Callithrix jacchus: one gene and its partners. The protein of the gene in region 2 purifies or fractionates together with the protein of the main gene of each other region. This does not show direct contact. Links are inferred from orthologs where the notes say so. Each region holds a gene or a part of one and is shown on either strand. Other genes may lie near its edges. The genes, in order: LARP7, SERBP1, DNM1L, TSR1, HNRNPU, RBM42 and PRMT1.

What was found.
Region 1: the proteins of SERBP1 (region 2) and LARP7 purify together in Homo sapiens (affinity purification with mass spectrometry; 3 studies listed by BioGRID). This does not show direct contact. The link is inferred for Callithrix jacchus from reciprocal best matches to the Homo sapiens genes SERBP1 and LARP7.
Region 3: the proteins of SERBP1 (region 2) and DNM1L purify together in Homo sapiens (affinity purification with mass spectrometry; 3 studies listed by BioGRID and IntAct, with this or other methods). This does not show direct contact. The link is inferred for Callithrix jacchus from reciprocal best matches to the Homo sapiens genes SERBP1 and DNM1L.
Region 4: the proteins of SERBP1 (region 2) and TSR1 purify together in Homo sapiens (affinity purification with mass spectrometry; 3 studies listed by BioGRID and IntAct, with this or other methods). This does not show direct contact. The link is inferred for Callithrix jacchus from reciprocal best matches to the Homo sapiens genes SERBP1 and TSR1.
Region 5: the proteins of SERBP1 (region 2) and HNRNPU purify together in Homo sapiens (affinity purification with mass spectrometry; 3 studies listed by BioGRID and IntAct, with this or other methods). This does not show direct contact. The link is inferred for Callithrix jacchus from reciprocal best matches to the Homo sapiens genes SERBP1 and HNRNPU.
Region 6: the proteins of SERBP1 (region 2) and RBM42 purify together in Homo sapiens (affinity purification with mass spectrometry; 3 studies listed by BioGRID and IntAct, with this or other methods). This does not show direct contact. The link is inferred for Callithrix jacchus from reciprocal best matches to the Homo sapiens genes SERBP1 and RBM42.
Region 7: the proteins of SERBP1 (region 2) and PRMT1 purify together in Homo sapiens (affinity purification with mass spectrometry; 3 studies listed by BioGRID and IntAct, with this or other methods). This does not show direct contact. The link is inferred for Callithrix jacchus from reciprocal best matches to the Homo sapiens genes SERBP1 and PRMT1.

The regions. Positions count from the first base shown.
Region 1 is NC_133504.1:84,550,414-84,553,913, forward strand, and holds part of LARP7 (la-related protein 7), read right to left. Parts: intron 338-3,500; 5' UTR 336-337; coding exon 134-335; intron 1-133. UniProt on the Homo sapiens protein: RNA-binding protein that specifically binds distinct small nuclear RNA (snRNAs) and regulates their processing and function.
Region 2 is NC_133508.1:104,649,693-104,653,192, reverse strand, and holds part of SERBP1 (SERPINE1 mRNA-binding protein 1), read left to right. Parts: intron 1-1,835; coding exon 1,836-2,009; intron 2,010-3,500. UniProt on the Homo sapiens protein: Ribosome-binding protein that promotes ribosome hibernation, a process during which ribosomes are stabilized in an inactive state and preserved from proteasomal degradation.
Region 3 is NC_133510.1:38,741,723-38,744,789, reverse strand, and holds the end of DNM1L (dynamin-1-like protein), read left to right. Parts: intron 1-257; coding exon 258-417; intron 418-711; coding exon 712-768; 3' UTR 769-2,567; downstream 2,568-3,067. UniProt on the Homo sapiens protein: Functions in mitochondrial and peroxisomal division.
Region 4 is NC_133506.1:65,921,096-65,924,595, reverse strand, and holds part of TSR1 (pre-rRNA-processing protein TSR1 homolog), read right to left. Parts: intron 3,133-3,500; coding exon 2,973-3,132; intron 2,537-2,972; coding exon 2,379-2,536; intron 2,118-2,378; coding exon 1,924-2,117; intron 831-1,923; coding exon 668-830; intron 1-667. UniProt on the Homo sapiens protein: Required during maturation of the 40S ribosomal subunit in the nucleolus.
Region 5 is NC_133520.1:41,327,376-41,331,493, forward strand, and holds the start of HNRNPU (heterogeneous nuclear ribonucleoprotein U), read left to right. Parts: upstream 1-1,318; 5' UTR 1,319-1,500; coding exon 1,501-2,191; intron 2,192-3,085; coding exon 3,086-3,197; intron 3,198-3,284; coding exon 3,285-3,358; intron 3,359-4,118. UniProt on the Homo sapiens protein: DNA- and RNA-binding protein involved in several cellular processes such as nuclear chromatin organization, telomere-length regulation, transcription, mRNA alternative splicing and stability, Xist-mediated transcriptional silencing and mitotic cell progression.
Region 6 is NC_133523.1:31,829,416-31,833,426, forward strand, and holds the start of RBM42 (RNA-binding protein 42), read left to right. Parts: upstream 1-1,211; 5' UTR 1,212-1,336; coding exon 1,337-1,464; intron 1,465-1,701; coding exon 1,702-1,846; intron 1,847-4,011. UniProt on the Homo sapiens protein: Binds (via the RRM domain) to the 3'-untranslated region (UTR) of CDKN1A mRNA.
Region 7 is NC_133523.1:43,444,021-43,448,274, forward strand, and holds the start of PRMT1 (protein arginine N-methyltransferase 1), read left to right. Parts: upstream 1-1,454; 5' UTR 1,455-1,498; coding exon 1,499-1,534; intron 1,535-1,633; exon of another isoform or gene 1,634-1,815; intron 1,816-3,773; coding exon 3,774-3,827; intron 3,828-4,038; exon of another isoform or gene 4,039-4,135; coding exon of another isoform or gene 4,136-4,153; intron 4,154-4,254. UniProt on the Homo sapiens protein: Arginine methyltransferase that methylates (mono and asymmetric dimethylation) the guanidino nitrogens of arginyl residues present in proteins such as ESR1, histone H2, H3 and H4, FMR1, ILF3, HNRNPA1, HNRNPD, NFATC2IP, SUPT5H, TAF15, EWS, HABP4, SERBP1, RBM15, FOXO1, CHTOP, MAP3K5/ASK1, MICU1 and NPRL2.

The DNA of each region.
Region 1 (3,500 bases), on a different chromosome or scaffold from region 2:
GAAACAGAGCAAGACTCCGTGTCAAAGAAAAAAAAAAAAGAATATACTACTTTATAAGTAAATTCAGAGGCAACCATTAAATTCAGAGGCAACCATTATCCACAAGTTGGTCCCTTTACTGAAGCAAACTTACATCCATCTCTAGATTTTTCTATCTGTTCTCGAAGAAATCTATCCTTGTGAAGATTTGCATCCCCAAACCAGAAGTCCACTTGCTTAGCAATATCTGCAAGCACCTGTTTAACTCGTGATCGTTTCTTTTTTTCAACTTCTTTTTTCTTTTCAGTGCTTTCTTCTTCCATTATCTTTTCTTGATTTCCACTTTCAGTTTCCATTCCTGTGCATTATAAGAAAAAGAGGTAAATATTTAAATCAGCAAAACAGCAAATATAGTTTAATTTAGAGTAGCCTTTAATTGTCTGAGAGAATAATGGTCTCATCATTTGGCTGTCAGAAGACAAAAGGAAAATTTATTTTTATATTTAATAATTTAAATTATAAAATAATTTACCTCCTATGTTAGAAATCGCAGCTTTAGTTTTTTTCCACCTTTTAAATTGCAGGGCCAGATTATTCTAGTATAACATAACAACTATGCGTTTATCTCACTAAGCTGTACTTTTAAGCCAGTAAATGAAAAGTGTAAGATTAAGCAACCTGGATATTTTCCATCACAACCACCACCCTCCCCCACCAAATAAGTTTTATTCACTTTTCTTTTTTTGAAATGAAGTTTCATTCTTGTTGCCCAGGCTGGAGTGCAATGGTGTGATCTTGGCTCACTGCAACCTCCGTCTCCTGGGTTCAAGCAATTCTCCAGTCTGAGCCTCCTGAGTAGCTGGGAATTACAGGTGCCCACCACTACACCCGGCTAACTTTTGATATTTTTGGTAGAGATGGGGTTTCACCATGTTGGCCAGGCTGGTCTGGAACCCCTGACCTCAGGTGATCTACCTGCCTTGGCCTCCCAAAGTACTGGCATTGGCCGGTGTGCCCGGCCTATTCAGATTTTTAATATTATAACCTTTATGGGACAAAATAAAAATAAACTGATTATTGATTTTGATTTTTAAAATGTTAATTTATGCTTTCTAGAGGCAGAAATTTCTTTTTTTACTTTTTTTTTAATCTTTTTTTTTTTTTTTAGATGGGGTTTCACATGTTGGTCAGGCTGGTCTTGAACTCCCAACCTCAGGTGATCCGCCTGCCTTGGCCTCCAAAGTGCTTGGATTATAGGCCTTAGCCACCACGCCTGGCCTCTTGGGCAGCAATTTCTAACCCCCTCCTTCCTCAAGTTACTTTGCATAGCTCTTCCCCTTTGCTTTGTCAGCTCCAGTCATACTGTCCTTGTTGTACTTCCTGAAACTCACCCAGCAAAATCTATCAGGTCTAAACCTGTTCTTGAAACACATATCCCCAGCGATAACAGCTTGCTCTCCTACCTCCTCAAGTGCCTATTTAAAGGTCACCTCTTTGAAGTCTCCTCCCACAACCATATTTAATAATGCAAATTTCTGGACACATACATGGTAACTTCCATGTCTTATTTTCGTCCATAGCATTTATCATCTAACATTACTACAACTACTTTGCAATTCATTTTCTTTCCTAGAATGTAAGATCAATGAAATCAGAGATTTTTGTCTGTTTTGTTTACTGACAGATTGTCAGTCCCTGCCACAACAGTCCCTTAAAAATCTGTTGAATAAATTGTGCCTACATTTTGTTGAATGAATTGAATCACTTGAGGTATATGAGCAAAGGATCCGGTCTGGGATAACACAGCCTGCTTGAGAATAACCTCAGTCTCCCATAATACAGTCTTCTTGGAAACTGGAGAAACCAATGGGGAGTGTTGTATCTGTTTCCCATGTTGTACCTGGTTTGGAGCAGCTATTGAATGACATGGAGGCCTTATACCTATGTGACCGGAACAACAGATTGACAGGCAAAAGGTGTTAAAGCTTTTATGTGTCAAATTATCCTAAACACACCTTGGTCCTTATCTAGGGAAGCCATACATGCCTCTTGTGGGTAAATGGGAGAAAAAAGAAACGAATCTGGGTAATTGCTAGATATAATGGCTTGGCCATTGCTGGGATGAAGAAGCTATATCTACCCTATCTTTTGCCTTGTATCTTTCTTTGGTAAACATAGTATTTGAATCACTTGAGTCTGATAGCTGGTAAGAGGGTCCAAAGCCCTTAATGCATTTCACCTCAAATCTCCAACTAAACATGCATTCTCATCAACAGAAGGACATTTTGGCATTTTAGAACAGGCTTCAGTAGATCAGTCAAGCACCAAGTTTGAAGATATCCAAGTAATATCATATTTAGGTGATGCTAATTTAAGACATAAAACACAGCTACAGGTCAGAATAATAGAAAAACAATCAGGTGTCATTAAGTACCACATAACCACGTTCTTCACCTAATGGTCTTACTTCAACCCATTCTGTCAGGCTTTCCTCTGCACCATTCTAGAGATACTGCAAAGTCCTCAATGGGCTTGGTCTACTTGACCTCTCAGCAGCAAATGCAGTTGGTAACTTCCTCCTTGAAAATACTTTCTTCGGCTGGTCATGGTGGCTCACACCTGTAATCCCAGCACTTTGGGAGGCTGATTACAGATGCCTGCCACCATGTCTGGCTAATTTTGTATTTTTAGTAGAGATGGGGTTTCACCATGTTAGTCAGGCTGGCCTTGAACTCCTGACCTCAGGTGATTCACCTACCTTGGCCTCCTTCAACTTATTTAAGGATGCCATATTCCACCAAAAATTAACCAATCAAGCTATTTATTAGCTGTGTGGATTTTGAGGAAGTTACACCATCTCTCTGTGGTCTATAAAACATGGATAAAAATCATACCTATGTAATAGTCGTCAGCATTAGCCAAAATAATGAAAATAAAGTACTTCAAATTGCTGATACACAGAACACAATAAGTAACCATTATTCTATTCAATCTGTTGTTAAATCTTATCAGTTTGACTTTTGAAATGGCTCCTCATCTCCATCCAGTGTTTTCTGCAACTACTGTCACTAGAATATGGCCACAGTTTATAAACTGTTCTGTAAGTCATCTGTTCTCAGCAGGAGCCTATGTATAACCCATCTAAAATACAGACTTGGTTTTGTGATGCTTATGTCAAAACATGCAACATTTGAAATTCCTAAGCACCTTCCTGTAACATAATACACAATTTAAGAAAACATTGCTTAAAAAAAAAGTAACATTTTACTGGAATAAAAGTTACCATGTAACACCACCAGTTACTTTATATACATTTTTGTAAATCCTCACAATCCCACAAGGTAGCAGTTTCTTCCTTTTTTTTTTTTTTTTTTTTTAGACACTGTCTTGCTCTGTCACCCTGGGTGGAGTACAGTGGCACAATCTTGGCTCACTACAACCTCCGCCTCTGGGATGCATGGTTAATTTTTGTACTTTTAGTAGAGACAGGGTGCCATGTTGGTCAGGCTGGTTCTTCCATC
Region 2 (3,500 bases):
AGCCTCCTGAGTAGCTGGGGAACTCATGCCTGTGCCACCAAGGCCAGCTAATTTTATTTTTTATAGAGAAGGGTCTCACCATGTTAGGTATCACCCAGGCTGATCTTGAACTCCTGGGCTCAAGCAGTCTTACTGCCTCTGCCTCCCAGAGTGCTGGGATTACAGGTGTGAGCCACCACACCTGACTTTATTTTTTATTTTTATGTGGTTGGTTGGTTTTATTTTTTTTCTGAATATTTTTGATCTGTGGTTTGTAATGAATTGAAAGCATTGGTTTGAAATAGAAAACATTTAAAAATCAGACAGCATATATAATTGACTTTAATTTACTGATGTTTTTGTGAATTTGTTTTTAAGTTTCTGGGCTCCACTTAAATTAGTATTAGAACTTTCTGTTGCCTTACAGTGTATTGATGTGGCACAATGGGATGACATTGAATACTATTATGAGATGATGTAAGGGTTGAAAACATAGATTAAAACAAGTTTATTTGCACTTCAGAGGGTAGTTATTAACAGCTGTAATATTGTAAGTTGAATCTAATGGAGTTGTAATAGTACAGGTTCTACTGAAAGAATAAAATGTTTATTATCCCTTAAAGAGAAGGATTTTTTTTTTTACATGTATTTAGGAAAAACTGTACTTTAAAGTCAAATAAGCAAAGATTTTAGAAGATAAAACCCATCCCAAGCATACAAGAAGACAACAGGCATCGAGCAGTGTAGAATTGTCTGACCTTTTGCTTTTTTCCCCCGGACTGGGTCATGTATCTTTATATAAATAGAAAAACTGGATTTCACAAACATGACTACATTTTTAAGAAGGTTCTAATTGGGCACTGTGGCTCATGCCTGTAGTCCCGGCACTTTGAAAGGCCAAGGCCAATGGATCTCTTAAGCCCAGGGTTTTGAGACCAGCCTGAGCAACACTGCAAAAACCTGTCTCCATAAAAAATTTTTAAAAAATTAGCCAGTTGTCATGGAATGTGCCTGTAGTCCCAGCTACTTGGGAGGCTGAGGTGGGAGGATTGCTTGAGCCTGGGAGGTAGAGGTTGCAGTGAGCCCAGATCATGCCACTGCACTCCAGTCTGGGTGACAGAGTGAGATTTTTGTCTTAAAAGAAAAAAAAAAAAAAGGTTCCTGACATATTTAACATTTGGTCCTCTTTGTGCATAGCTTTCCAATGTGTGTGGTTATCTTTGTGCATAGCTTTCCAGTGTTTCCCTCTTAATGTAAAGTGTGTAGTGTTTTACTTGAATTTGTAGCTCTAATTTGTATAGAAAAACATAATAGTTGTATATTAACAGAAAATGCTTCTAAGAAGTTTATATGTAATACTGTCTTTACCCAAGTTGTAGTTGGAAGAGTGTAGAACAGAGGTTTTCTTTTTAACTTGAGTGTTCTTTTTAACTTCAATGTTAGTACTAGTAAAATAACCTTATATGTCTTCTATCCAAAGGTCTACATCAAGGATTCACATTGGAGTCCTAAACTGAAGGGCATATTTAAAATGTATTTGTCCAGATTTCACTGCTAAAGATTATGATTCAGTAGGTCTGGGATGGGTTTCAGCTATTTGCGTTGATTGTGATAACATATATGACTTTAGTTGAGGACTGCTGGTATTACCTGCAATTTTGAGATAGAGAGAAGTGAAGGAAATTCTTTCTTCAAGATCACTATAGCTGAGTATAGCTTGTTACCTGTGGAGACGTTTGTTGACAGAAAGTACAGTTTTTGGAGTTTTGGTCATTTTAGAAGAAAGCTTATTATTTAGGAATTTTGCAACATTGCTTTTCTACTACTTACTCAGTCGTCTTCACTTATATTTTTAGGCTCATGCTGAAGATTCGGTTATGGACCATCATTTCCGGAAGCCAGCAAATGATATAACGTCTCAGCTAGAGATCAATTTTGGAGACCTTGGCCGCCCAGGACGTGGTGGCAGGGGAGGACGAGGTGGACGTGGGCGTGGTGGACGCCCAAACCGTGGCAGCAGGACCGACAAGGTAATTTAAGTCCTTCTTTTCCTTTTAAGTAATTTAAGGACCTCTTATAAGTCACTGACTGGGTCTTTTTGTGAACGTAAGTAGAAGTAGTAGCCATGTCTTCAGGAAAACACATGTTAGGTTATATTTTTGTTTAAAGCACTTAAATGCCTTTTTGTATAAAGTTAGTAATGTTTAATTGCCACACTTTAGAGTTCCTGTTAGGTGCCGGTCCTGGTGCTGGGCTAGGCATTTTGTGTGCTTAATGTCATTTAATTCTTGTTACTATGATGACATTCTCATTTTCCACATGAGGAAACTGATAGAGTGAATCAAGTTAACTCTTGGCCTTTGCTAAGGTTTACCTGAAAACCAGTTGTTCACTTTGATAATTCCTAACTGCTTTTTAGGTCTCCGCTTAATAACCGTTGTGTTCCCTGTATAACTTCTTTTGTGACACTCATGATTGTTGACACTTTTTCTTTTACTAGACTCTACTGTGAAATCTGGAATTCATTTTTGTCTTATTTTCTATAATCTCTCCAATGCCTTGAACAGTGCGTGTCACAAAATAAGTTCTTAGCTAAATATTTTGATGAATTCCCAAGTAATTGATAGATATGAACTCAGATCTGATGCTTGGAAACAACCATAATGTCCACCTAAATTCTCAGCACCTGATACACAAATTCAGGGACCCACCTGCTTGATTCAGTCTGTCTTTGATTATAAGGATAACTTAATAGTATAGATTTTGTGGTCTTTACTGCCAGTGTAATGATACTTTGTTTCTACCTCTAAGACCAATCTGCTTTTTTTTTTTTTTAAGGCAGCAATTAGGTTGATGGGTTTTTCCCATACCTTTTTTAGTTCTGTGGCTGTAAAAAGCAGTTTGGACTCCTTTTTTCAGACTTATTACCTTGTTGATTGTTGCTACTTAAATATTAGTTTCTTAGCATGCTTTTTCACATTTATGCCATTCTTACTTAGCAAGTGGAAAAAGTATAAGAATACTGAACAACAGGCCGGGCACAGTGGCTAATGCGTGTAATCCCAGCACTTTGGGAGACTGAGGTGGGGGGATCATAAGCTCAGGAGATCGAGACCATCCTGGCTAACTTGGTGAAATCCCGTCTCTACTAAAAATGCAAACATTAGCTGGGCACGGTGGTGCATGCCTGTAGTCCCAGCTACTTGGGAGGCTGAGGCAGGAGAATTGCTTGAACCTTGGAAGCAGAGGTTGCAGTGAGCTGAGATCGCGCCACTGCACCCCAGCCTGGGCTGCAGAGCGAGACTGTCTCAAAAAGAATAAAAAGAGGAATTACTGAACAGCAGTGTGAATTCACATACATAATTGCATGTGAATCTACTTGTGTGGTTTATTGGAAAAATAAAGTAACTGGCTGGGCACAGTGGCTCACGCCTGTGATCTTAGTACTTTGTGAAGCCTGGGTGAAAATCACCTGAGGTTTGGAGTTTGAGACCAGCCTGGTAAAAATCGTGAAACCTGTT
Region 3 (3,067 bases), on a different chromosome or scaffold from region 2:
GGCTGGTCTCAAACTAAACTCCTAGCCTCAAGCAGTCCACCTACCTTGGCCTCCCAAAGTGCTGGGATTACAGGCATTAGCCACTGAACTGTTGCTTTTCTTAAATTATAATTAAGCAAAAATCTAAAGGGCAATTATGCCATTAATGAAATATCCAAAGTAGTACAGTGTTCTTATTTCATGAGGTCAGCATCTAAGCCCAAATTATTAAAAGTAGAATTTTGGCTAAAATTCCATAATTTGGCTTTGTTTTGCAGTGTGCCAAAGGCAGTAATGCATTTTTTGGTTAATCATGTGAAAGACACTCTTCAGAGTGAGCTAGTAGGCCAGCTGTATAAATCATCCTTATTGGATGATCTTCTGACTGAATCTGAGGACATGGCACAGCGCAGGAAAGAAGCAGCTGATATGCTAAAGGTACTGTGAAACTTTTGAGTTTTTATACTTTGGCAGTAGACAGAAATGCAGTTTGGATTCTTGGATATATATATGTGTGTGTGTGTGTGTATGTGTGTATATATATATGTATATATAGTCTTTATATTCTAGCTTGGTTTGTTTCTTGTTGGTACTTGATTAGATTCTAATTAGATTCTAATATTGGTTAATATAAACCTACCACATATACACTGGAAAAATTACCCTGCACAATTCTGATTAATTTCATAACTTTATAATAAGCATTTAAAATTTTTATTTCCTTTAATGCAGGCATTACAAGGAGCCAGTCAAATTATTGCTGAAATCCGAGAGACTCATCTTTGGTGAAGAGAACTATATACTACTCAGACTTTGTTGACTCAAAAACTTGCTAGTTACTGCCTGAGTAGAATTTTATTTATGAACTCCTGTGTACTGCAATGGCATGAATCTGCTCATGTGAAGACTGGCTATAAACTGAAAAGTGTATTCCATATTGCAGAACAAATCACACATTTAATCCAAATAATAAATGGCTGTTTCTAAAGTTTCCCAACATACATAAAATACATCAAGTCTGTCTTGTGACAGTTTCATCTAAACTTAAGAAGAACTGTTAATGTTCTAGTTGTACAAAGCAGTTTGCCTGTGGATAAGATGACCTGTGTAATCTTTGTTAGTAGTCTTAAAGCTGCTGCCATAGTCCTCCAAGAAGAAAGCACCAAGACAACATTTCATTTGACTATAATGCATGTACTGTATAAACTGAACTGGCTTTGAAAGATGTGGGTTGGCAAGTTCCTCACATACAGTCATTGTATTCCACCTGTCCTTCAATTTACTTTTTCTGAGCTACTCTGCAGCCTTTGATGTGTTTTTAAGAAAGCTGAATGCATAAGAGGATCTGTGACACGGACATGGATGTGGCGTGCATACTGTGTAGTTACATAGCCCTTCCAATTCTGGGTCCATTTGCCCTAGCATATTAAAATATGCTTTGATTCATACTTAAACCTGTAAGCATGAATGCCTACATTAATTCCTACATTAAAAACAACAGCCATCTACCCTTGATTATCTAGTAAGAGTTGGTAATGATGGCCGGTTCCTTTTAGTTTTAGAAGATCCAGTGATGACCTAAATTTCCCTTAACTTGCAAATACAGTAGTAGTAACAACGAAGGTACATCTTTAAAATGGAGCACTTACACCAGCCTCTAAGATTCACTTTGAGATGGGACTTAAAACCAATATACTGTATGTGTATGCTGGTAATAGCTACTTTTGCTTTAGCGCATACAAACAAAATATATTCCAACAAAATATATTAGAATAGTATGAAAGTACCGGAGGAGCTTTGTTATTGAAAGAAAAACACCCAGACAGACAAACTCCTTAAGACTTACAGACTTAAACTGCCATTTATGGGGTAGTGATGAGGTTTAGAACATATAAATCCCCAGGTGATTCTTGGTATAAACTACATTATAAATTTTAAGATATACCTGACATCCAGCCCCATCACTAACAGACAACATATTTATATTATAGATATTAAATTTTTTTCAGTTTATGATCAGATATTTATGAAGGACTATTGGCAGGGAAAATATGAATGTTAACTTTAGCTTACTGTACCAATTTACTAAGGAACAACAGGCTCGCCAACTGATCTCAAACATTAAAAATCCCATATAAGTCTGATATGATATGGCACTACCTTGAATCTGTTACTAGTACCATCTTGACGGGATACATGCTCCCAAAACTTTTGTTACCACATTTAAAAATCACTCTGCTGTCATTAAGCATCAGTTTCAAAATTATAGCCATCCACGATTTACTTTTTCCAGATAGTCTTCTGAATTCGTAAGGGGAAAAAACCCAAAAAACTTACGATGCACTTTTCTCTAGCACATCAGATTTCAAACTGAAAATTAAAGACATGCTATGGTAATGCACTTGCTAGTACTACACATTTTGTACAACGAAAAACAGAGGCAAGAAACTTAATGGAAAGAGAAAAAACGTTCTTTTGTTGGCCCTTAAACTGAGTCAAGTTCTGAAATGTAGAGATGATCTCTGACATTTACAATGGATACCTGTATATTCTTGCTGTGTAAATAAAATTGCTGGTATGAAATGACATTAAAGTTTGTCAAAAAAATTCTTAGGTTTTCTCCCACAGAAAGGAAGAAAAGGAGCTTTTTAATATCTAAATCTACTTTGAAACAATCGTATAGAGTACTAAACGTTCTATGATTTTTTTCCTACCAGATTCTGACAGTTCACCAAGGTATTATTATATTGCCATTTTTGTGTATGAACACAGTGACTTGCTCCAAGTAATCCAGGTAGTAAATGGCTAGAATTTGAACACTAAAGCCATGCTCTGCAGCCTGTAAGATTTTCAAAAGAAATCTGATTAATCATTTCATATGTGATTCACTTGATCCTCAGGGCAACAGGGAGGCCCGGCCACTGCCTTTTTTTTCAGATATGGAAATAGTTCTGGAGAATTAATTTGCCTCATGTTTGCAGAGCTGAACTCAGTCTTGATTCCAAATCCTTTAGGTTTGACCTAAAAACTTTCCTTGCCTGGATACTTTTTAATATTCTCACGAGTGCATATTTTATTTTGGGGGGGT
Region 4 (3,500 bases), on a different chromosome or scaffold from region 2:
TGGGTTCAGGCAATTCTCCTGCCTCAGCCTCCCGAGTAGCTGGGATTACAGGCACGCGCCACCATGCCCAACTAATTTTTTTGTGTTTTTAGTAGAGACGGGGTTTCACCATGTTGACCAGGATGGTCTTGATCTCTTGACCTCATGATCCATGGGCCTCAGCCTCCCAAAGTGCTGGGATTACAGGCGTGAGCCACCGCGCCCGGCCTGTTTTGTTTTGTTTTTTTTTTTGTTTTGTTTTGTTTTTTTTGAGATGGAGTCTCACTGTCGCCCAGGCAGGAGTGCAATGGCATGATCTCTGTTCACTGCAAACTCCCCGTCCTGGGTTCAAGCAATTCTCCTGCCTCGGCCTCCCAAGTGGCTGGGATTACAGTCATGCACCACCACACCCAGCTAATTTTGTATTTTCAGCAGAGATGGGGTTTCTCCATGTTGGCCAGGCTGCTCTCGAACTCCTGACCTCAGGTGGCCTGCCCACCCCGGCCTCCCAAAGTGTTGGGATTACAGGTGAGCCACTACACCTGGGCTGTTTCCAGTATCATTCTTGTCGATGACTCAGGGGCTCCCCTAATTTCCCAACGCAGCATATTTCCATGCCAAGAGAAGGAGTAAAGTGGGAGCATGTTGACAAATGAAAGCAACATACAAGATGGACAAGGGCAGATACCTCAGCTCCTTCAACCTCTTTTTCTTCAATCTCCTTAAAGATGCTTTTCCTGCTATTAGTAAAGTTCTGAAACTGAAATATCCGAGCATACTCTTGAGGAAGGTTTTCCTTAGGATCCCATGGAGATGTCCGGAAGCTCTTGAGGCCTCTGTATTTCTGAAATCTAGAATATTGAAGATTTTATAAAAATTAAGTCAGATTTACATGGTGCTATATAGACTCAAGTCACTGCTAAAATGGCTAAGGATCTAGCTCAAAAGAACTCCAATCACTATCTCTCAAAATAAACTATCAGCTTAAACCAAGACCACACTGCAAAACAACTTGTAACAAGTTGTATCAGAACCAAACCCAAGCTTCCCACTGACAAAAGACAAAGGATTTATAGTGGCTCCCTGACAAAAAAGATGTTTGGTAATGACCTGGTATAGTTCAGATGTGTGTCCGTGCCCAAATCTCATATTGAAATACAATCTCCAATGTTGGAGGTGGAGCCTGGTGGGAGGTGACTGGATTATGAGAGAGGTTTTCTCATGAATGGCTTAGCACCATCCCCGTTGGTGAGTGCGTTCTCATGAGATCTGGTTGTTTAGAAGTGTTAGCACATCCTGCCTCAGTCTCTTGTTCCTACTCTGGCCATGTGACATAACTTGCTCCCCTTCTGCCTTCTGCCATGATTGTAAGTTTTTTTCAGGCTGCCCCAAAAGCTGAACAGATGCCAGCACTATGCTTCCTGTACAGCCTGCAAAACCATGAGCCAATTAAATCTCTTTTCTTTATAAATTACGCAGTCTCTGGTACTTCTTCATAGCAGTGCGAGAATGGCTTAATACACAGCCTTATCTCCTTAATATCCAAGATTAATTCACTGGCTTTAGTCACTCACCTCCAGAATAGATATAATCATCTACATCTTCACTCTTCTACTTCTGCTATTCTACCCAAACCCCCTAAAATCTCCAAACATTATATACTTCAATTGAGTATTGGCTCCTTTGGGAAGAAGTATTTGCTAATTAACCTTAGTATTTCTCCTTCATTAAAGTCCTGTAATAGTAGTCTGTACCACAGTCTAGAACTTGATTATATATTACCATTTCCTGTATGTATGTATGTATGTATGTCTTGCCTTCCCATATTAAATGTTAGCTCTTCAGGAGCAGGAAAAATGTGTTTTTCTTCTTTTGTATCACAGTGACATAGCTCTGAGCCAAGTTTTTAAAACCTATTGACTTAATTTAGATTTACTGACTAACCGAATTCTAGCAGCCACATCACGGGGGGTGTCCACCTCATCCGGAAACATCTCTTCCAGTCTTTCTTGTTTATATTTCTCCAACTTTTTTGCCTCAGCTTCTTCATCTACTTTCTTATCATACAGATCATCATGCACAGACTCCCCTATAGTCATAGTTTCATATTCTTCCTCTTCTTCTTCACTACTCTCATCCTGTAGAATAAAGGATTATTTATTTCAGAAGAAATCCACACCCTAAAGGCCAATAAGCTAAGAGTAAAATAATTGTATTGGATACCTATTCCCAACTAACATAGATTCTAATACGGCCTAAAGCAGAAAACAAAAGCCTCATTCCTGGCAACTAGAGTCATTCCTAAGAAACTAAACATACACACCCCTCAAGATTACAATTGCACTTTGCTTTATGTTTGAAGCTAGACACAGAAATGGCCTAAGGCCTCATTTCCTTACCTGAGATTCTTCTTCCATAAAATCCTCATGTTCCATATCATCATATTCATCTCCTTCCCCATCACTTTGGCTGCCACTATCCAAAATCCATTCAGCTTGGTAACTGGATGTTCCTTTGGGGACCTTCTTTACCACCTTAGAACTTTCCTTCAAGAAATCTGTAAAAGCCCAAACAAATTAAGTAAATTATAGCTATCCTTTCCCTATCCCTCTGGTTATTCTCACCCAGGCAAGGCACTAGACGCTGCTGCCAACATGGGAAATTCCAGCAGACACCATAAGCAGAACTAACTACTTCTAAATTTAATTCCGTTGCCTCACAACTAGCAATACTTACACAGCTAAATAAGCCCTGCAATGAATCCAAAGTTGTTTATCTGTTCATGATAAAACATTAACACAAGTTATTTTGAGAAATGGAACAAAGCTGTGTCTAATGTTTGTTTAGTGAAAACATATAACATTTGAGGATGAGGAGAGACTTTCAAATATATCCCTATCCCACTCTATCCCATATGGTTCTCACTCTGAAGAGCTAGAGGAAATCCACAATTCCAGGTCAGATGAATTACAAACAAGTTTACCAATACCAACCCTTTGCCTCACTCATCTCCTCCTCAGTGGGCCAGGTTTGCTCCCCCTCCATTGGATCTGGGATAACCTCTGTTTGCAAGGATTCCTGTCTATCAGGGTCTGCCTTCATTAGGACCTTAAGGTCTTCTTCCATATCATCTACAGTATCCGTAGCACAAATCTGAAAACCAAAAAAGCAGGTGATAGTCAACCATTAACCAAAAATCTCCCAAATCAAACAGAATAACCAGAAAGACCCAGAAATACCGGTCCTCATGTAGAAGATGAATGCAACAGAATGCCAAAACTTGTCAAAATTTTTCAAATGACCATTTTCTAATTTCCAGGGTTTTTTTTTTTTTTTTTTTCCGGAGACAGTGTTTTTCTCTTGTTCAAGCTGGAGTGCGATGGGTCACTGCAACCTCCGCCTTCCGGGTTCAAGCGATTCTCCTGCCTCAGCCGGATTACAGGCATGCGCTACCACACCCAGCTAATTTTGTATTTTTAGTAGAGACAGTGCTTCTCCATGTTGACCAGGCTGGTCTCAAA
Region 5 (4,118 bases), on a different chromosome or scaffold from region 2:
CAGTTAAATCATATTAGCCTATGGGAGAAATTTCAATGTCTATACTTCGAAATTTCAAATTAATATTGAGACAATATTATTGTGCCACCTAGAGCACCAAACCGTGGGCATAAACCATCTCCGTCGTGAGCCGGAACACTGGCTGGACACCGCAGATTATCTGGGGCTTAAGCTGTTAACCTCTATCACAAATCTAAAGTCTGCCTTCCCTATGTAAAACTTCAAGAACATCACATCTTTAATGAGAAAACGTAAACTTCAAACATACAACAAAATATCAGGTTTATTTTCAAGCGCGATAATCCATTTTTCTTTTTACAAAATCACAACCATTGATTTTTATGAACTTTTAAGTTTCAGAATGATTTCGTCAAGAGTATTTCTACAGGAATAGAAAGAGATCGAAGTGTATGCCCTCGCTGGGTCTCACCCTCACTGTTAGTTACCGGGACTTCACAGCCGGATGAGCAGGTCCTAAGGTGGACAGAACAAGGAGGTCCGTCTTTGCGGTAGGTACAGAAAACTTGGAAGTGCAATTCTGAGGCTTCTTCAGGGTTATTAGGAGCTTGATACCAGCTGCCCCGAAAAGGCTGGGTAAGTGAGGATTTACACTACGGAGTAGCAAGCAAGCCTCTGCTTCCCAGGCCCTGCGGCCGGGTGTGCAACAGACAAAAGAACAGCTCTGCGCTTGCCCTTCCCGAACTTGAAAACCAGTTCGCAAGGCCGGACTTACACAAATTAAATCAAATAACAGGATTATGCGGAAAGGAACCCCTGCGTATAACAGTTGCCAGCGTGTTATGCCACTCAAAACTGAAACACGATTTTAAGGAGTTTTAAACGAATGGCTGGAGACCCATCTAAGAAGGCAGATCTAAGATGGAAGAAAAGGCGGACTCGGGTTGAAATGGCAAATTGAGGACTGAAGAAAGCATTTGGATAAAACAGCCTTCAGGCTGGGAAGGCAAAAAGCAAAACGAGTAGAGCCACCAAAGCCCCAGAAAGGCCAACAGATCGTGCAGTGGGTCGGTTTAACTGAAAGGCGGTTTCCTTTTCCTCCATTTGCTCAGTCCCAATTGGAAGCGCACTGCACGGCCTACGCCGCGCTCTCGGGCGGGGTGCAGCGTGGGGGCGGGGAGATAAGTACGGTAATGGGCGGGGCCGAGCGCGGGCGCGCTCCGGCTTTCCCCCGGCGCAGCGCTCCCGTCAGCGCAAGGGGCGGGGCGGCTATATTACGTGCGCGGCACCGCCCCTGCGAGAGGACGTTGCGTGCTCGCTCGCGCCAGGCGAGTCTCCGCGTCTCCGTCGCGAACTCGGTGAAAGGAATTGGCGCCGTTCGACATCAGGCGGATCCGCTCTGCAGCACGAACCCATCTCCAGCCGCAGCCTAAGCCGCAGCCGCCGCCCGGGCCGAGGAGCAGCCGCAGCAGCCGCCACCAGTGGCCGAGTGAGCGGAGCCGAGTTTGAGGCAGCGCCTAGCGGTGAATCGGGGCCCTCACCATGAGTTCCTCGCCTGTTAATGTAAAAAAGCTGAAGGTGTCGGAGCTGAAAGAGGAGCTCAAGAAGCGACGCCTTTCTGACAAGGGCCTCAAGGCCGAGCTCATGGAGCGACTCCAGGCCGCGCTGGACGACGAGGAGGCCGGGGGCCGCCCCGCCATGGAGCCTGGGAACGGCAGCCTCGACCTGGGCGGGGATTCCGCCGGGCGCTCGGGAGCAGGCCTCGAGCAGGAGGCCGCGGCCGGCGGCGACGAAGAGGAGGAGGAGGAGGAGGAGGAGGAGGAGGGGATCTCCGCCCTGGACGGAGACCAGATGGAGCTAGGGGAGGAGAACGGGGCCGCGGGGGCGGCCGACGCGGGCCCGATGGAGGAGGAGGAGGCCGCCTCGGAAGACGAGAACGGCGACGATCAGGGTTTCCAGGAAGGGGAAGATGAGCTCGGGGACGAAGAGGAAGGCGCGGGCGACGAGAACGGGCACGGGGAGCAGCAGCCTCAACCGCCGGCGACGCAGCAGCAACAGCCCCAACAGCAGCGCGGGGCCGCCAAGGAGGCCGCGGGGAAGAGCAGCGGCCCCACCTCGCTGTTCGCGGTGACGGTGGCGCCGCCCGGGGCGAGGCAGGGCCAGCAGCAGGCGGGAGGTAAGAAGAAGGCGGAAGGCGGCGGAGGCGGCGGTCGCCCCGGGGCTCCGGCGGCGGGTGAGTGCTGCGTTGTACGTTGCGCGCGGCGGGAGGCCCGCGCGGGGTGGGGACCGTGCCCCAGGCCTGCCGGAGCCCCGCAGGGGGAGGGAGCCCCCGGGCGGGCGGGCGGGGGCCGCGGCGAGGCTGGCGGGTGGGGGAGGGGGCGCGGGGAATCCCAGATTAGCCGAGAGGCCTCGGGCTCGGGGGGGGGGGGGTGGTGCGCGCGTGTGACGGCGGTGGCAGCGCCTCCATTATGTGGCTCGAGAGCTGGGGGGAGCTGCAGCTGCCGCTGGAGGGGGAGGAGCCGCGGGCCGGCGGCGGGAGGGAGCTTCGTCGGCCCGCGGTGGCGCCGTCGCGCTGCGTGCGCGCGGTGCGGGCACATGTCTCGGGGGGAGGGGAGAGGCCCGAGGTCCCGGGGCGGGCGCGCTTTGGCGGCTTCTCGCCACTGTATTGTGCAAGGAGCACAGGGGCTCGGCGTGACGTCACTTCCGGCGGGAGGTGCCGGGCGGGGCGGCGGGCGGAAGATCTGTACAATGCGGCCGCGGGGAGCGCGGGCCTGCGGGGGAGGGGAGCGCCGAAGCGCCGGGCTGGACGCCCCCCCCCGCCCCCCTCCCCCCGTCTGCTCCGTGCGCCCTCTTCGGGATACACGTGGGCTCCTGGCTTGGTCCGTGCAGTTTCTCTCTGGCCTTCTCGAATCATCGAGGAGACTGGCAAAATTAGTAACGTCTTTAGACTGCGTCACTAGCGCCAATCTAATTCCTGTCTGATTGTTCTTTGAAGGCACATTTGAGTCCTCGGTTAAAAGCTCATTTAAAAAGCCGGGTAAATCGAGCTGCTTTGTGCCTCGGCCTCGGAAAAGGGTGTTGTGTTGTTTAGCGGCTTGACCTCTTATGGGGGTGTTGTGTGTTTTAGGGGATGGCAAAACAGAACAGAAAGGCGGAGATAAAAAGAGAGGTGTTAAGAGACCACGAGAAGATCACGGCCGCGGATATTTTGAGTACATTGAAGAGAACAAGTATAGCAGGTACAGGATGCTCCCCTAGTTTTACTCGTCAGCACTTACTGGTTTGTTGATCAGAAAGCTGTATCAGGAGACACTTCTATCTTTCAGAGCCAAATCTCCTCAGCCACCTGTTGAAGAAGAAGATGAACACTTCGATGACACAGTGGTTTGTCTTGATACTTGTAAGTGAAGCTGTTTCTCCCCAATTATGAAATGCAGTGGTGGTTTTTCGTTTTTTTGTTTTTGGTTCCAAAATGTTAGAAAATTTAATGCAGTCTATGTTGAGCTTAAGTGCTGAAAACTTCGGTGAGGTTTTGAAAGCAGGAAGGTAATGGTTTCTATTCGGAAGCACGCAGTGTAATATTTAGCACAGCATCAGTTGTATTAAATGGAATGTTACAGGCTCTAGCAGTTTCATATTTTTATGACTTGAAAGTTCTCATTCTTAGGAAATGTAAAATTAATGCCAGTTTTTGACTATCTGACGGAAACTTGTAAAACTACCTATAGTTCAGACTTACAGGCTCCTACAATAAAGTAATTAATTTTTTTGTGGAATTCTATTAAGTGAGCTATTTGGGCTAGTTATATATTAACTAATGACTTTTCCCATTAGCACACGAATATATTCCCTATTCTAAAAGATTGTAATATTATTTTCAATAACTGCTCTTTGTTCTCAATTCCAGTTCAGTAGCTGCTGCTTTAAACATAAGTTGATTTCTTCCAAAGACCTGAGGCAGCAGCAGTGGGCTATCACTGGGCCACTAGCTTTCTTCAGCAGCGAAATGGTATCAATGACAGTGCAGCACTGTAAATACTGCTACTTTACCCAGTTGGGTTGCAATTAGTATGAGGAAGTATTGCAAACCTCTAAGTGGGCTTTGTTGTTGCTATAAAAACTGTAGTTGGTTTAGTGATCAGAATGCACAACTCTGATAA
Region 6 (4,011 bases), on a different chromosome or scaffold from region 2:
GGCAAGAGAATTGCTTGAACCCAGGAGGTGGAGGTTGCAGTGAGCTGAAATCACACCACTGCACTGCAGCCTGAGCGACAAGAGCAAGACTCCGTCTCTAAATAAATACATACAAAAATACATACATACATACATACATACATACAATAGCTGGGCATGGTGGCTAATGCCTGTAATCCCAGCACTTTGGGAAGCTGAGGCGGGCGGATCACCTGAGGTCTGAAGTTCAAAACCGGCCTGGCCAACATGGTGAAACCCCGTGTCCTCTAAAAACACAAAAATGAGCCAGGCGTGGTGACACCCTCCTATAATCCCAGCTGCTCGGGAGGCTGAGGCAAGAGTATAGCTTGAACCTGGAAGGTGCATGTTGCAATAAACCGAGACGGCACCACTCCACTGCAGCCTGGGCAACAGAGCGAGACTCTTATCTCAAAATTAATTAATTAAAATAAAAAATAAGAGAAGCATAGATCAGGTGAAATCCAGATGTGTCGAATATTGATAGCGTTTGAGAGGTACTTAAGAGTTTGTTATACTAGTCCCTCTAATGTGCATGTTTGAAAATATTCAGAATAAAACACTTTGAGGGCTACGGGGAAGAAAAAAAAAGAGGGGTCAGCTGTGTCCCAAGAAAGGACAGGGACCAAGCCCACGCACGTGCCCCTCTGCGTTGCACTAGTGTGGGCCTTGGCTCCCACCCTGAATATCTCGTCTCATCTTCAAATGTCTTCAGATGTCCTCCGCCAGGAAGCTCGGGTCAGGCGCTTCCTCCCGGGCATCTCTAGTCTTCATGGGAACCACAGGTCGAGTGTCAACCTACCCCAGGGTAGGAGCCCCCAGCCCTCAGCCCCAGACCCCAGCTAGGCCTCCCAGCCTTGCCCAACCCTGAGGTTGACGCGGACTTCAGCGTCTTTTAAAACTTCCAGCGCGGGCTTCGCGGTGGCACAGGAGGGGCCTCCGAACTTTCCTGCGTTCTCAAAGGTCCAGATTCCACATTGGGGACGGGACCAACTGACTTTGCTTTGCTCTCATTAGCCTGTGTTCCTCCAGGAAGGCGAGACCGCCTATCTTCACTGCGCTCTCATAGGCCCAGGTTCTTGCGTTTGTTTGTCATTCTCTCACTCTCATTGGCCTGGATTCCCCCTGAGGGTGTGGCCAGGTCTCATTGGCCCTCGCGCCCGGATTTATGACGTCATGTGTCAGCGCCCGTCGCTTTTGCTGGACGTCATCCTCGGTGAGCCCACCCTGACGAAGGAGGAGAGTAGACAGCAGAACCGGCGGCGGCGGCGGCGTCTAGGCTGAGACAGTAGTAGCGGCGACAGCGACGGCGGCAGCGATGGCTGGGGCGGGGCCAGCCCCGGGACTCCCGGGTGCAGGAGGACCCGTGGTCCCGGGCCCTGGCACTGGCATCCCGGGCAAGAGCGGCGAGGAACGCTTGAAGGAAATGGAGGCGGAGATGGCCCTGTAAGGCCCACGACAGGGAGAGATAAAAGTCGTCCCAGAGCCAGAGCCTCCGAATCCCGGAGCCTCCAGGCCTCGATTGGCCAGAGATGCGCTCTAACGTGGGGAAATGGGACCTTCGGGATTGTGGGGGTGGGGATAGGGGAGAGGTTGGCAGGGGTGACGGTCCCCGCGAAGTATACCCAGAGTTCCAAAATTGGTACGAGATCCTGAGCTCTGGTGTCTGTTCTATTCCTCCAGGTTTGAGCAGGAAGTTCTAGGGGCTCCAGTACCCGGAATCCCAACTGCTGTGCCTGCAGTGCCCACGGTCCCCACGGTAGAAGCGATGCAGGTCCCAGCGGCTCCTGTGATCCGCCCAATTATCGCGACAAACACATACCAGCAGGTACGGTTGAGCTAAGGCATATAAGTCAGGGAACACAATATCTCTAACACAGTAGGTGTTTGTGTACAGAGAGCTGTTGACGTTTTGGTTTGTTGACTAATTAGCATGACAAATATTTTGTGTGTCAGGCACTGAGAACACAGTAATGACTGAGACAGACATTTCTGCCCTTTGGGAGCTTATATTCTAGAGCATGCTGTCCCGTAGAGCTTTCTGCAATAACGGAAATGTTCTGATATATTTAAAATTTATATTTAATAGTTCCTTATTCCCAGTCACATTTCAAGTGCTCAATAGCCAACCATATATGAATAGTAGAGAAGAAGAGATAAATTATTATGATGAAAACAGGCTGGACACGCCTGTAATCCCAGCATTTTGGGAGGCCAAGGCAGGAAGATCGCTGGAGGCCAGGAGTCAGCCTGGGCAACACAGATCCTCTCTCTCCAAAAAAAAAAAGAAAAGGCAGAAAAATTAGCCAGGCCTCGTGGCACAAGCCTGTAGTCAGGGCTACTGGGGAGACTGAGGTAGGAGGATTGTTTGAGCCCAGGAGTTCAAGACTGCAGTGAGCTATGATCATGCAGCTGCACCCCAGCCTGGGTGACAGAGTAAAACCTAGTCTCTGCAAAAAATTCAAGTTAAAAAATGAAAATGAGCAAATGAAACTTGATCATTCTGTCAACAAATAATTATCAGGTGCCTTTTATGCACCAGTCATTATTCTAGGCATTCAGCATTATAGCCAAGTACAAAACAAAAATAATCACTGTATTTTTGGGGCCTGTAATCCCAGCACTTTGGGAGGCTGAGGTGGGCGGATTGCTTGAGGTCAGGAGTTGGAGACCAGCCTGGCCTACCTAGTGAAATATGGTTTCCACTAAAAAAATAGAAAAATTGGCCAGGACGGGTGGCTCACACCTGTAACCCCAGCACTTTGGGAGACTGAGGTGGTTGGATCACAAGGTCAAGAGATCAAGATCATCCTGGCCAATATGGTGAAACCCCATCTCTACTGAAAACAAAAAAAATTAGCTGGACGTGGTGGCGCGCACCTGTAGTCCAGCTACTTGGGAAGCTGAGGCAGGAGAATTGCTTGAACCTTTGAGGAAGAGGTTGCAGTGAGCTGAGATCATGCCACTGCACTCCAGCCTGGCAATAGAGCAAGACTCCGTCTCAAAAAAAAAAAAGAAAGAAAAAAAAAAAAAAATTAGCCAGGCCTGGTAGCACACGCCTGTAATCCCAGCTACTTGGGAGGCTGAGGCGGAAGGATCGCTTGAACCTGGGAGGCAGAGGTTGCAGTGAGCTGAGATCACACCACTGTGTTCTAGCCTGGTCAACAGAGTGAAACTCAATCTCAAAATAAATAAATAAATAAAAGTATGTTAAGAAGGATGGAAGTTCCTTAGCACAGACACAGAAGTCCTTTCTGAGGAAATCACATTTAAGCAAAGATACAAAGGAGACATGGAGGGAACCATGCAGATGTCTGGGGGAAGAGCACTCCCAGCAGAGAACTACCAATGCAAAGGTCCTGAGGTGGCCGGCGTGGTGGCTCACGCCTGTAATCCAGCACTTTGGGAGGCTGAGACGGGTGGATCACAAGGTCAAGAGATCGAGACAATCCTGGCCAACATGGTGAAATCCCATCTTTACTAAAAATACAAAAATTAGCTGGGCATGGTGGCACTTACTTGTATTCCCAGCTGCAAGAGAGGCTAGGGCAGGAAAACCGCTTGAACCTGGGAGGCGAAGGTTGCAGTGAGCCGAGATCACACCACTGCACTCCAGTCTGGTGACAGAGTGAGACTCTGTCTCAAAAAAAAAAAAATTTTAAAAAAAAGGACCCGGCCGGGCTCGGTGGCTCAAGCCTGTAATCCCAGCACTTTGGGAGGCCGAGGCAGGTGGATCACGAGGTCAAGAGATCGAGACCATCCTGGTCAACATAGTGAAACTCCGTCTCTACTAAGAATACAAAAAATTAGCTGGGCACGGTGGCGCGTGCCTGTAATCCCAGCTACTCAGGAGGCTGAGGCAGGAGAATTGCCTGAACCCAGGAGGCGGAGGTTGCGGTGAGCCAAGATTGCGGCATTGCACTCCAGCCTGGGTAACAAGAGCAAAACTCCATCTCAAAAAAAAAAGGACCCTGGCTTGTGTTGTGAGATTGG
Region 7 (4,254 bases), on a different chromosome or scaffold from region 2:
AATTGACGTTGAGAAGCTGGCCAGACAAAGAGAGGTGGGAGTTCCTGGCAGTGGTAGGGACTTGGCAAAAACCAAGAGTCTGGAGAGGGGTTGATGGGCTTAAAAAACTTGGAATGGGCCTGGTGTGGTGGCTCAGGCCTGTAATCCCAGCACTTTGGGAGGCTGAGGCGGGTGGATCGTGAGGTCAGGAGTTCAAGACAAGCCTGGCCAACACAATGAAACCCGGTCTCTACTGAAAATACAAAAATTAGGTGGGTGTGGTGGCACGCGCCTGTAGTCCCAGCTACTCGGGAGGCTAAGGCAGGAGAATCGTTTCAACCAACCTGGGAGGCGGAGACAGCAGTGAGCCGAGATCGCACCACTGCATTCCAGCCTGAGATACAGAGCAAGACTCCATCACAAAAAAACGAAAAACAGGACCGGGCGCGGTGGCTCAAGCCTGTAATCCCAGCACTTTGGGAGGCCGAGGCGGGTGGATCACGAGGTCAAGAGATCGAGACCATCCTGGTCAACATGGTGAAACCCCGTCTCTACTAAAAATATAAAAAATTAGCTGGGCATGGTGGTGCGTGCCTGTAATCCCAGCTACTCGGGAGGCTGAAGCAGAATTGCCTGAACCCAGGAGGCGGAGGTTGCAGTGAGCCGAGATCGCGCCATTGCACTCCAGCCTGGGTAACAAGAGCGAAACTCTGTCTCAAAAAAAAAAAAAGAAAAGAAAAACAAAAACAAAAAACAAACTTGGAATGATTATGTCAAAGGCTAGGATATAAGGATTTAATGTGTTGAGGCGGACACCTATTCCTCACTTGCTTAGGGACCCCAGACAGGCCCTTCCTCTCACTGATTCAGTTTTTTTCCCCCCAGAATGGGCACAAGCCCCCTTTTTCCTCCAGACCCTCCCCGGCCTGGGAAAATCCACCGAGTGTTCGAGGAGTGGGAGTTCCTTTGAGCCAATCGGTGGTGCCTGAAACCCCGCCTCCTTCACTACCCTTGGGCCAATCGTCGTGTTCTCCTTGAAGCCGGCCGCTTGGCGAGGGTGGGCCAAGGGCTGCGTGACGTCATGTTAGGATAAATCAATGGGAGCGATGAGGAGGCGGGTCGTTTTGGTGATGGACAGGCATTTCGAGACGCCCCTTTAGCGCGGGGCTCGCCGGGAAGCTTTGAGGCGGTGCTGGGGTAAAGGGGCGGGCATTTATGTAGACTTTGCCCAATCACCAGTCGCGCTTTTTGCAATAGACGGGCAGTTTTCCCCATCCCAGGTCGACTTGAGGGGGCGGGACTCTGGGCGCCAGAGTTGGCAAACCCCTGACCTATGATCGACGTCTTCTCTACCCAATAACTAGACGGTATTCTCAGACGGGCTGCCTCCTTTACCAATGAAATCTTCCGGCGGGGTCGCGGTAGGCGGGCCCTAGACCTTCTGGTATAAGACGGTCCCGGGGGAGTGAGGAGAAAGGGGGGGTCTTGGCGGCCGGAGGAGGATTAGGTGCGGGTGAAGATGGCGGCAGCCGAGGCCGCGAACTGCATCATGGAGGTGAGCGCTTGAAGCGCCGCCTTGAGAGGGGGGCGGCTTTGGGTCGGTGTTTCACAGCTCTGTGGTGGGGAAAGGGCTCTAAGTCGGCGACAGGAGGTTAGAGGTCGCCCGCCGCACACGGGGTCACCGCACGCTCCGCATCCGGGGATATCGTTTTAAGTTGCGGTTCCCTAGCTTTCAAGGGCCTTCGGCATCCGGCCTAGCGGAGGGTCTCATCCCCCCTCCCACGTGGAGGGGGGCTGGGGGCGCTTCCGGCCAGGCCCCCACGTGGCCTCGGCGCGGTGGGTGGGGAGGGGGTGTGCCGAGTCCGGTGGCCTGGCGGGCTCCACGTGCGGGACAAAGGCCCCGCCCCCGGCCGGGGAGGGGCGCCCGGGGGGGCGGGGAGGGGGCCCGACCCTCCGTCTGAGGCCACCAGCTCTCCTCCCCGGAGACGCGGGCACACGCCTTGGGGTGGGATTGATCTGGGGCCCACCAAGATGTAGGGAGTCTCTGGGGAAGGGCAGTGCTTCTCAGCCCTTTACAACCTCCTTCCGAGCTCCGGGGACATCTGTTGGGACAGCGGCCCCGGTTTTGTGCGTTCTGGGTTAGGCACTGGAGGAAGACAAAAGAATGGGGTCCCCCCGACCCCGTTTCCCATCTCAGAATTCTCCCCCTAGCCCAGAGCTTTAGGAGTTGGGGGATGGGGCATGCCCCTGTGACCTCCCTCTGGGTGGTTGTGGGGCATCTAGGTGGAGATTTTCCCATTAATAGGTGCCGTGCACCCCCTTGTGGCCATTTCTGGGTGTGTGGGAGGAACATCTTTTTCATGGGGCGTGTCCCGAAGCCCACCTACCGTCGGATTTCTTCCGGGCGGGGGAGGGAGGAGGGTATATCCGCTGGGAATGAGTGGTGGTGGGAAATACGTAGGCTGAGAGCTTTATCCTCTCCTGGAGCCCTTTATCTCCCCCGGGCCTTTGTGAGGGCGGGAGATGACCCCCCCCCCAGGGGGTCCTGAACCCCGGGGTCCTGAGGCTGGCTGCCTGAAAGGGTTTCGAGTTAGGTTGGGTTCTCTTTCAGCCATGTGGGGGAGGTTTCCGTCTTGCGTTTCAAGCCCTCTTGGGCTGGAATTGTCTTGAGGTAGTTTTCAGCGTGATTGAGAAATGGGCCCCCGCGGGAAAACCCCCCAGCACTTCTTATAGGCATCCGCGCTGGCTTGGGAGAGCTGGGGGGAGGGTGCTTGCAGCCTAGTAGGTCATGGCCTGTGATGTGGCCCTTCTTGGAGACTTGGAAAGTGGTCACATCTGGAAGAGATGTAATCTGATGGGACCTCTGTTCTTCCACCCCTTACCTATGGCACTGGCTGGAGGGGCAGGTCAGCTCTCAGGATGCAGTTCCCAGGGGTCACTGCTATGACTTCCCACCCCCTTGGCGGTCTCCTGCACCAGGGCTCTAAGGGTGGAGGAAATATCTTCCCCAGGGGTGGCCTCAGGCTTGGCCGCACCTAGGGGTCTTCAGGGCCTAGGATGGGTGTCTGAATGGAGGCGATGGGCTGACTCCCCAAGCCACTTTCTGGAGTCCTCTCATTCTTAGAGAGTCCAGGGGCTGCCCATCATCCCTGGGACTCCATCTTCCAGGGCAGAGGGTTGTAAGGGAGGGGGTTGGTTCCCGCTGGTTTTGTTTGGGGGCTCCTGAGCCCAAGGCAGGAGCTGGGGACTGGGGTACTAGCTCTGGGGGAGTGCCTGTGGGCCAAACCTCTTTTCTGGAATCCTCTCAGACAAGAGACTGGTTTGCAGAGGTGGCAGATGCCCTGTGGGCATAGCCTGCCAGCCCCCCTCCCTCCTGCTATTCATGGCACCCTAGGATAGGGGTGTGTGTGTCAGGAAGTGTCACCTAATCTGGGGGAGATTATGTGATGAGGGGGAGCGACAGCTGGCGGTGGCCAGTGCCAATTTCCCTGGCCTGGATGGGGGAGGTGTGTGGTCAGCTGCCTGGCCAGAGAGGAGCAACGTGGGGGCGGGCCACCATCTCTCCAGCCACAGCTGGGGTCGGAGACCCCCTTTCTTTTCTCTCCCCTCACTTTTCCCATCCCTTCTTAAGCACCCCACCTCATTACTTGCCCCCTTTGCCACCACTCCCCACAAAGAAGAAGAATTGCTGGAAACCCACCCACCCCACCTCCTGCCAGAGCCCAGGTCCCGCCGCCCAGCCCCCTGCAGCCACTCCTGGTAGCTAATCCTTTTTCCCTGTTACTCTCTCCTAGAATTTTGTAGCCACCTTGGCTAATGGGATGAGCCTCCAGCCGCCTCTTGAAGAAGTAAATATCCTTTTGTGAGACCCCTCCCCACCCTGACCTCCACATCAGTATATCTTGCCACACACTGGCCCTTTCTCGAGGTCTAATCATACCCCTCTTGCTTCAAACCAGTTGACCCCAGGCCCCCAGACACTTAGTAGCAACCCCTCCAGGTTCACGGCCCTGCTGGCCTCCCCCAGTATCAAGGCTACTTCCTTAACTCCACCTCCAGCCCCCCTTTGCCCTTCCCTGTGTCTGCCCCCGTTTTCCTTCCCCTCCCCTCCCCAGCTGTGGGCTGAGCTAGAGACGGGGGCAGAGAGACTGGAGATATGGTAGGCGTGGCTGAGGTATTGGGGTGCTCCCCTGGATGGTGCTCTGGGGGGGGTCGTGGAAGTGGAAAATGGGGCTGTTAGGTTTTGGGGTTCCTGGGGGGCTGTAGGGTTGTCAT